Macaca mulatta: one gene and its partner. The protein of the gene in region 2 interacts with the protein of the main gene of each other region in a pairwise test. Links are inferred from orthologs where the notes say so. Each region holds a gene or a part of one and is shown on either strand. Other genes may lie near its edges.

Evidence for each region. The genes of interacting proteins can lie anywhere in the genome.
Region 1: the proteins of MAPK9 (region 2) and WDR62 interact in binary tests that used the Homo sapiens proteins (3 or more experiments, as listed by UniProt). The two-hybrid records come from large-scale screens. The link is inferred for Macaca mulatta from reciprocal best matches to the Homo sapiens genes MAPK9 and WDR62.

The regions. Positions count from the first base shown.
Region 1 is NC_133424.1:47,311,066-47,315,723, forward strand, and holds the start of WDR62 (WD repeat-containing protein 62), read left to right. Parts: upstream 1-1,506; 5' UTR 1,507-1,950; coding exon 1,951-2,127; intron 2,128-4,658. Other genes in the region: THAP8 (THAP domain-containing protein 8), read right to left, coding at 1,123-1,205. UniProt on the Homo sapiens protein: Required for cerebral cortical development. Plays a role in neuronal proliferation and migration.
Region 2 is NC_133411.1:189,305,407-189,310,049, reverse strand, and holds the start of MAPK9 (mitogen-activated protein kinase 9), read left to right. Parts: upstream 1-1,736; 5' UTR 1,737-1,940; intron 1,941-4,643. UniProt on the Homo sapiens protein: Serine/threonine-protein kinase involved in various processes such as cell proliferation, differentiation, migration, transformation and programmed cell death.

The DNA.
Region 1 (4,658 bases), on a different chromosome or scaffold from region 2:
AAAGTTGCTGAATTAATCAACAGTTGCCAGAGTCATATACAGGCTTAAAGTTCCCCCTAATCCCTTTGGCCCTATACCAGGGTCCCTCAAAGGATCCATGAGACATGGACTGCTGGCTTTCCTGGAGAGCCCATCTGAAATGCATTCATCAAATCCACCCAACAGATCTTTACTAAGCACCTACTATGTGCCAGGCACTGTTCTAGAGGTTGGAGACACAAACAAGAGGAAACAAGAAAGACAAAGAAAGACAAAACCTCTGGCTTGATTGAGGTGACATTCTAGTGGGGGAGATAAGGAATGCATACATCGAAAATGCGATATGCAGACAGTGATGTGTTAAAGGGAAAAATAAAGCAGAAGACAGAGAGAACCGTGTGTGTGTTTCGGTGTCAGTTACAGTTGTCCATAGGGTGGTAGTAATAAAGGCAAGAACTTTGAAATCAGAGGGAATGGCCCAGGCAAAGATAGCAGGGCAGTAACATGCCTGCTATGCTACAGGAACATGAAGTAGGCCAGTGTTACTGGAGTGAAGGGCAGGAGGAAAGAGATGAAGTCACACTGGTATCAGGGAACCAGCTCTGTAGGACTTTGCAGGCCTGCTTTCTACCTGCTGCAGCCTCACTTTATTTTTTACAGTGAGGTGGGAGTCAGGGAAGGGATCTGGGCAGAGGAGGGAGCTGATCTGACTCAGGTGTTCACAGGCTCCCTCTGGCTGCAATCAGGGAACTACTAAGGACAGACTGGAAGGTTTTGGGGGAGACGCGATCACAAGCTCAGTTTCGGATGCTCTGAGTTTCAGATGGCTCAAATGCGTGGGGAGGGCAAGTGGGCATCTGTAGGCTCTTACAGAGCCTGCACCGACTTCACTTTTTACATCCGTTTCCCTCTTCGTCTCGCTTCGTTCGCTACCTGTAGTTAATCGTCTACTCCTGATGTTTCCCACGCCAGCACCTTTGCAGGTGCAGTGGACACTGCCGGGAAGGCCATCTCCTCACGTTTTAACCCCACTTCCTAACACCCTCAAGCGAGACCAGAAGGCCCGCACAGCTTCACTAAAGCTCGGGCCCCGCCCCTCCCAGGGTCCCGCCTCCCTCAAGCCCCGCCCCGCGCTGCGCTCACTTGTAGAAGCTCACAGGGCGGTTGTCTGCGCCCAAGCTGCCCGCAGTGTTGGAGCAGTTCGGCGCCCTGCAGTACTTAGGCATGGCTGTCCAGCCCCGTTGAGTTTTGCCGGGTCAGCAGCTGCACTTTGGTTCTCGTGGAGCGCCGCCGAACCCCGCCCCGCCCGCGCGCTCGCCGCCTGCCTCACATGACGTCCGTGGAGACTCGTCACGTGCCGGGGAGAGCGCTGAGAGCGCCTGGCTATTAGGCGCCCCTCCAGTGCCACAGTCACGCCCTCGTCACGTAGCGAATTGGCTATAGCGAGAACTGTACGCCTGCGCAAAGCCTGCCCTTCTCCACCCCGACTTTCATCACGTGTTGGGGAGAGGGGCGGCGTCACGTCGTTTCTGAGCCTGCGCCAACCAAATCAACTGGCCAGTCAATCTCTTACGGCTCCACCCTACGCCTATATCCGGGCGACCGTCGGAGCGCATATAGTTCCTCTGGGTGGCGGCAAAAACCGAGGTGAGGCAGCTGGGGCCTTAGCCTCGTAAAAGTTAAAACCTGTATGTTTCAGCGAATAATGAAAACGGAGTCTGGATGAAAGACCCCACGACTCTTGATCAGGTATCCAGTACACTAGCCGCCCAGCCAGGCACTCGCTCCGCCTCTTCGCTCCCATTGGCCCTAAGCGCCGCCCGGCAGCCCTGCGGTTGGCCAGGCCGGGCCTGTGGTGTCCAATAGGCGGCGGCGCCGGCTTTCCCGCGGCTGTTTGCTGTTTCAGTGGGTTGTGGCGGTGGCGGCGGCGGCGGTTAAGGGATGTAACGGTCGCCCGGCTCCGGCGTGACGATGGCGGCCGTAGGGTCCGGAGGCTGTGCGCGGAACGATGCAGGGGAGAAGCTGCCCTCTGTCATGGCGGGAGTTCCGGCGCGGAGGGGTCAGTCCTCCCCGCCGCCCGCCCCACCGCTCTGCCTCCGGCGGCGGACGCGACTCTCGACGGCCTCCGAGGAGACGGTGCAGAACCGGGTGAGAAGCTGCTCGTCATGTCTACCCCAGTTCCAGGCCTCCTGGGTTTCCCCTAGTCCCGTCCTGAGAACTGTGGCCCCGACTATCAGTCCCTGGCCAGTCCCCTCAGGCTGTTCCCTCCCTGGCTTCGTCCCCTAAGTCCCGCCCCTTTAGCCATGGCCCCTCCCACTTTCCCTCTCCTCGTTGCATTCCCGGCTCCACCCTCAGCGTTGGAGTAATTCCTGGGTTCCTCCCTGGTTCCCACCACTGGGGAATGCATTTTGTTTCTGCAAATCACAGCCTAGTCCTCCTATACTTTAACCCCCGTTCTATCGCCTTTAGACGTCACGATCATAGCTCACTGCAGCCTCACTGCCCTGGCCCCCGCTGGGTCATTAAGGTCCCTTCGAGGGTTTAGTCCAGAGTGTTACCTGCCCCAACTCTTCCTCGCTTCTACCTCGCCTTCTCTCACCTTCTGCGGTCTCTATCCTTTTTCCTCACCAAGGTGGGGATTCTTAATCCATATTGTCATTCAAAACTATGACAAAGAAATCTCCGCAGTGCTGCCTGGGGAGGAGGGCGCACAGAACAGTTCCCTAAATTTTGAGACAGAAACACAGAAGGAAATGATTTCACAGTAGGTAGAAGGAATTCCATTAGCACAGCGGCAATTAAAAAAAATTGTTTTCCAGCTCTGTAGGCACAAAATCTGTTTTTATAAAATGGAGATGATAAGAACCATAGTATTGGTAGGGCGCGGTGGCTCACGCCTGTAATCCCAGCACTTTGGGATGCCAAGGTGGGCTGTTCACCTGAGATCAATTCAAGACCAGCCTGGCCAACATGGTGAAACCCCGTCTTTACAAAAAGTACAAAAATTAGCCGAGCTAGCACACTCCTTTAATCCCAGCTATTCAGGAGGCTGAGGCGGGAGAAATCCCTTGAACCCAGGAGGCGGAGGTTGCAGTGAGCTGAGGTCACGCCACTGCACTCCAGCCTAGGCGACAGAGTAAGACTGTCTCAAAAAAAAAAAAAAAAAAATTATACTATTGCATTGGAAAGAAGTGAAATTTTACTTGTGATCTTCTTGGCACAGAGTCCAGATAAAGGGAGGATACCTGGTAGCTGCTGGTGGAGCTTGTTCCTGCCCCATGACTTTCTCCTGCACTGTGGTTATACTGCCCACTCCTGGCTATAGGGCTCTGGCTGTACCTCCCATGTCCTCCCTGTCACCAACGTTCAGTCACACTGGCCTGCTTTTGGTTTTCCTGAGGCTCCATATTCTTTTCTGCCTCCTTAGCCTGGGCTTTTTGCTGCAATCTACCTGGCTGGCTCCTTCCCATCCTTCAAGTCTCAGCCTGAATGTCGCTATCTGGAAAGGCCTTCTTGAACCCCATTCTAAAGCAGACACCCACCTTCATCTCTCACCCAGCACCCTATACGTCATAGCCTTTATCTTATATGTTCCTGAAAGTGCCTTTTGAGCTATTAAACTACATATAACAATATCAAATTCAGAGAGGCATTATAGCAAGGTGGCTAAGAGAACAGACTGGTATGGTTGGACCCAGGCAGCCTGAGCTTAAACTTTAGTCCTGTTCTTCCTGGTAGTTTATGAACTTTGCTTTTTCTTTTTCTTTTTTTTTTTTTTTTTTTTTTTGAGATGGGGTCTTACTCTGTCATCCAGGCTGTAGTGCAGTGGAGTGATCTCGACTCACTGCAGTCTCAGCCTCCATGGGCTCAGGTGATCTTCCCACCTCAAGTCTCCTGAGTAGCTGGGACTACAGGTGCATGCCACCATACCTGACTAATTTTGTTTTGTTTTTTGGTAGAGACAGAGGGTCTCGCCATGTTGGCCAGGCTGGTCTTGAACTCCTGAGCTCAAACGATCTGCCTGACTTAGTCTCCCAAAGTACTAGGATTACGGGAGTGAGCTACTGTGCCCCGCCAAGTTATGAACTTATCTGTGCCTCAGTTTTCTTATCTGTAAAATGAGAATGATGTAGAAATCTTTCATAGGGTATTTGTGAGGATTAAATGAGGTCACATATCCTAGGCACTCAGAACAACACTGGCACATGGCAAGTACTCTATTCATGTTAGCTAATACTGATACTATAACTGTATATTTGGGGTAATATTTATTTTTCTTGTTTGGCAGTACGGAGTTGATCTGTCTTGCAAAGACCTAGTCTAAAAATGACCATTCATACCAATGCCCAGTAATGCTGATCGACAGATAAGACAACATGAGTGCCATGGCTTGGTTGTTTATGTTGGAATCCTGGCGCTACCCCTTCCTGGATGGGTAACCCCTCTTGGCCTCTGTTTCCTCATCTGTTTGGTTCCTTTTTTTTTTCTTTTTCTTTTTTTTTGAGACGGAGTCTTGCTCTGTCACCCAGACTGGAGTGCAGTGGCTAGAGCTCAGCTCACTGCAAGCTCCACCTCCCGGGTTCGAGCGATTCCCCTGCCTCAGCCTCCTGAGTAGCTGGGACTACAGGTGCTCGCCACCTCGCCCGGCTAGTTTTTTGTATTTTTTAGTAGAGACGGGG
Region 2 (4,643 bases):
CTCTCATGCACCTGAGGCAGGTGGCAGGTGAGTCTGAGGTAAGGACAGGTGTGGGCCCTCCTCAATGCAGGCCACACTGCGAGGTAGAATTTCAAGCCGCGATGAGCCATGCTGAGATTTAGCAAACTCCCTCTGGTGGCCAAGGAGGACACCATGCTGCATCCGTTCCTCTACCCCACCCCTCCTCTGAGGCTCTGGTGCCTCCAAGCGGCCTGGCCCAGCCCTCAGTGCCCTTGGAACCTGGGTCACAGGCTAGCTGCCCTCCCCAAAGTCTGCAACCACCCTTCACACCACCCAGCCCCTTGCCCTCCCCATCTGCAGAGTCCTGTTCCTTCTCCCAACTCTGGCCCTGGCCACTCCGTGGATACTGGTATTGTGTTTCTGCTGTTCTACCCCCCACTCACCATTTGTCAACCACTGTTCCCACTCTTCCAGTCCCCAAAGCCCGGCTCTCCGCGGTTTTCCCCATGTGCATAGCCTCGTGCCGCGCTTCCTGCTTCACTTTTCAACGTAGATCTGGCAACATCCCAAGTCCCGGCCTCTCCCATCCTGTACGACCCCCAGGCCGCTGGTACCTGATCCAGCCTCAAAAGCAACTCAAGAGTCAACGGGTCCCAGTCCCTAGGGGGCCCTGAGCAAGGGACTCCTCGCCCCGCCCCCCACCCCTCTCAGAGACTTGACTGAGCACCTCCCTTTTTTTTTTTTTCTGAGACAGAGTCTCACTCTGTCGCCCAGGTTGGAGTGCAATGGTGCAATCTCGGCTCACTGCAACCTCCGCCTCTCGGGTTTAAGTGATTCTCCTACCTCAGCCTCCCGAGTAGCTAGGATTACAGGCGCCCGCAACCACGCCCAGCTAATTGTTTCGTATTTTTAATAGGGACAGATTTCACCTGGTTAGCCAGGCTGGTCTCGAACTCCTGACCTCAGGTGATCCACCCGCCTCGACCTCCCAAAGTGCTGGGATTACAGGCGTGAGCCACCGCGCCCTGCCGCACCTCCCAATTTTTAAATGTTGTCAACTAAGTCACCCCGCCACCAAGCGCACTCCCCTCCTGCGTCACCGACCCATCGGGTAACCTGTCTACACACGGCCATCTCTTCGCACCCCCTCCCCTTCTCCAACCCGACTTCTGGCCTCACCCACACCCCCACAGACCCGTTCCTGCGGCGCCGCAGCGAGCAACCGAGTACAAGGCCAGCCCCGCCTCCCGGGCCCTAGCACGCCGGGCTCCCGGACGCCAGGCCGGCCTCTCCCCGCGATCGCCCCGGGCTCTCCCCGAAACGGGCGGCCTCCCGTGCTGCTCCAGGCCGCCTCGCCGCCACGAGCCTGCACCTGTAGGCGAGGCCCGGCTCCCCGCGGACCCCGCGGTGTGAGCCCCGCGCGCCTCCAGCCCGGTTCCCGGTCCTCCGGGCCACCCTCTCCCCCGAGCTGCGGCCCCCTCGCGCGGACAGCGGGCTCAGCTGGTGGGACGCGCAGTGCCTGCGTCTCCAGCTCACCGCGTGCGCGGCGCGCAACCGAGCGCCATGGCCGGTCGGCCGACGCCACTGAAAGGCCCGGGGGCGTCGAACCCACGGAACCCCGGCCCAGGACCTCGGGCGCCCGACCCGGCCCCCGGCCCCGCCCACACCACCTCCAGCGGCCCGCCCCCCAGGCGCCATTGGCCGCGCCTGCTCCGCTCTCCGCGCGCTGATTGGTCGGCCCGAGGGTCGGTCAGACCGGGCGCCGCGGCGGCGGCAGCGGCAGAGAAGGGAGCGGGACCGGAAGGGTCGCAGCGCCCCGGCGCCCCTCACACCCACTGCGGCGGCGGCGGCGGCGGGGCGGAGCGCGGCGGGGCGGGCCGGTGGCGGAGCCGGGGCCGCGGAGCCAGGAGTGACTAGCACGCAGCGCCGCCAGTCCGCCCGCCCGCCCTCTCCCCGTGGCGCGGCGGCGGGGAGGCGAGGTGAGCCCGGCGGGCGGGCTAGGCCTGGCGGCGGCTGCTCGGGCCGGGCCCGCGGGGAGGGGCGGCGGGGGAACCGCGCGGCCGGGGTTTCGGGGTGGGCCGGGGGCTGCGGGGCCCTGGCAGCCGCAGCCGTCGCCCCTGTGCTCGGGGATGCCGCAGGCGCCCCCTTCCGCCCGGCTGTCAGCGGCTCCGGGCTGCGGGCCTGCTCCCCGGCCTGGCCCGGCCGACCTGCCCGTGGGGTCTGCGGGCGCCATCCCTCGCGGAGGTGGGGCGAACAGCTGCACTCCTGCGCCGGGGGCCCAGGGGCCCGGGGTCGCGTCCCCGCGACCTTGACCAAGGCACTGACCCTCGCTCTGCCGCGGTTTTGCCTTCAGGAAGGTGGGGAAATGCCTCTTCTGGACAGGGTTGTTGTCAGGCTGTGTGAGTGTATGCAGACGCCTGGGCAGGACGCCGGTGAACATTTGTGGAAGATTGGGCAGGGTGCTGGCCCTTGCCGGTGTGAGTGGTGTAGGAACCCCCTCCTCATCCGCCCAGCCTCCCGCCTCCCCACGCACGCCTCCCTTGCCTTGTCATTGCACACTCAGTGTCCAGCAGTGCCAGAGGGGACCCAGCCCACATCCCTTACCACCACACCCCTCTCCCAGAAGACTGCTGCCCCAGTCCACTCATCTCGCCCGCCTTGAACATGCCAGCCCGCATTTGCCCCAGGACCTTTGTATTTGCTGTTTCCTCGTCTTTGGAGTTGTCTGTGATCTTGGCACAAGTAGCTCTTTCTGCTCCTTCCTCTGGCCAGATGTCTCGGTTTGGGTGAGGCCCTCCTCGACCACCCTCTTTCTTCCCTTAGTCATGCTATTTCATTATTTTAAAAATTTCCTTCCTAGCTCTTACCTGGTTTGAAACGTTTCTATTTATTTGCCTGTTTATTTTCTGTCTCCCCGACTAGGATGTAACTTTGTGAAAACAGGTAGCTGTCTGATTTGTCCACTGCTTTATCCCCAGTACTTAGAAAGCACACAGTAAGTATTCAGTAGTATCAGCTCAATGAATGAATGAATGATCAAAGAAATGGCCCAGTCTCCCTGTTGTCTCTGCTTTATCTGTTAATTTAGTGACTTCTGATTAACGTGTGAAACTTGTAAGCAGATGGAAGCTTGTTCTATTTTGTGAAACATTTTGGTGTCCTTGACCCCTTTAATTGCTAACCGTTGGAACAAGCTGTGATGTAAAATCTCACATTTTTATAATGGTTTAGCTCTAGCTTTCTTCCACACATGCAGGAGACATTTACTGAATTCTGCATTATCTAGGTCATGCTTTCTGCTAGGCCCTAGGGACACAAGGCAGATAGCAACAGGGTCCCTTTCCGAAGAGAGCCCAGGAGCCCAGTAGAGAAGGCAGGCATGCAGACACTTAGTTCCAGGACTGTGCAACCCTTGCTGTCGTGGAGGGGCTATGCCATGGAAATGTGGAGGAGGTGACAGGTGATGCTGGGGGGCCTTGAGGGTGATGAGAAATTTGCTAGGCAGGGAGAGGCAGAGGTATGAAGGAGCAGGGCCAGGTAAGGACCATAGCCCACTGTGGAGTTGAGAATCAGTCTGGAGGGCCAGGTGTAAGGGCACAGAGTCGTGGGGACTCTGAAGAACTGGAACCTTACCCAGCAGTTTTCTAGAAGAAGGTGGAATTTGACTAGTGCCATGGCTCACGCCTGTAATCTCAGACACTTTGGGAGGCTGATGTGGGAGGATCACTTCAGGCCAGGAGTTCAAGACCAGCCTGGGCAACAGTGAGATCCCTGTCTCTACAAAAAATTTTTGAAAATTAGCTAGGTGTGGTGGCATCCACCTGTAGTCCTAGCTACTTGGGAGTCTGAGGTGGAAGGATCCCATGAGCCCAGGATTTTGAGCCTGCAGTGAGCTATGATCGCACCACTGTGCTCCAGCCTGGGTGACAGAGCAAGACCCTGTCTCTAAAACAGAAGGCAGCACTCCACATTTGTTCCGATTTTTAAATGTTGGCAATAGCTAATTAATTTTTTTTTTTTTTTAAATGCTGTGAGCCAAGCCAAATACAGATTCATTCAGCTTGGTTGCAGATTGTCATCCTCCAGGAGTGGCTGTGTGGGAGGGAGGAGCTGTGAGGAGAGCAGGAAAGGTAGCCTAAGGCCAGGAGAGTCAGGCCCTGTTTGCCCAGGTGCCAGCCCAGATACTCATTTGATTGTAACTGGAGCCCTGTGGAAACGGAAGCTCAGGAGTTTGAGTAGTCTGCTTCTTAGCAAGCAGCTGGTGAGTGGAATCCGAACCCAGATCTCTCCCTAGATAAGGATTCTTTCCTGAGTCCCTCAGCTCTGAGTATTCTCTTTTGGCTTTTAACTTCTTCTGGAAGAATGACCACCAATCTATTTAATGTTTTCCTTGATTTAACTTTTAAATTTTTCTTCAAAAGGATCCTGCAGAGTTAAAAACAATACTATTTTTGCATAGACTTCTCTGGACAGCTTTGATTTTCCTGGTAATTTAATTTTCAGGGTGCCAGAACATTAATTTGTTCACAGACTAAAATCTGTTTATTTGGTTCCCTGAATAAACATTAGAGGGGATTCTTGAATGTGTCTAAGATAAAATATTTTTAATTTTCTGGATAAAGAAAAGGACCAGACAAACCAGTTAATAGTGACTAGACCAGTTTTCGTGAGACATAAAACAG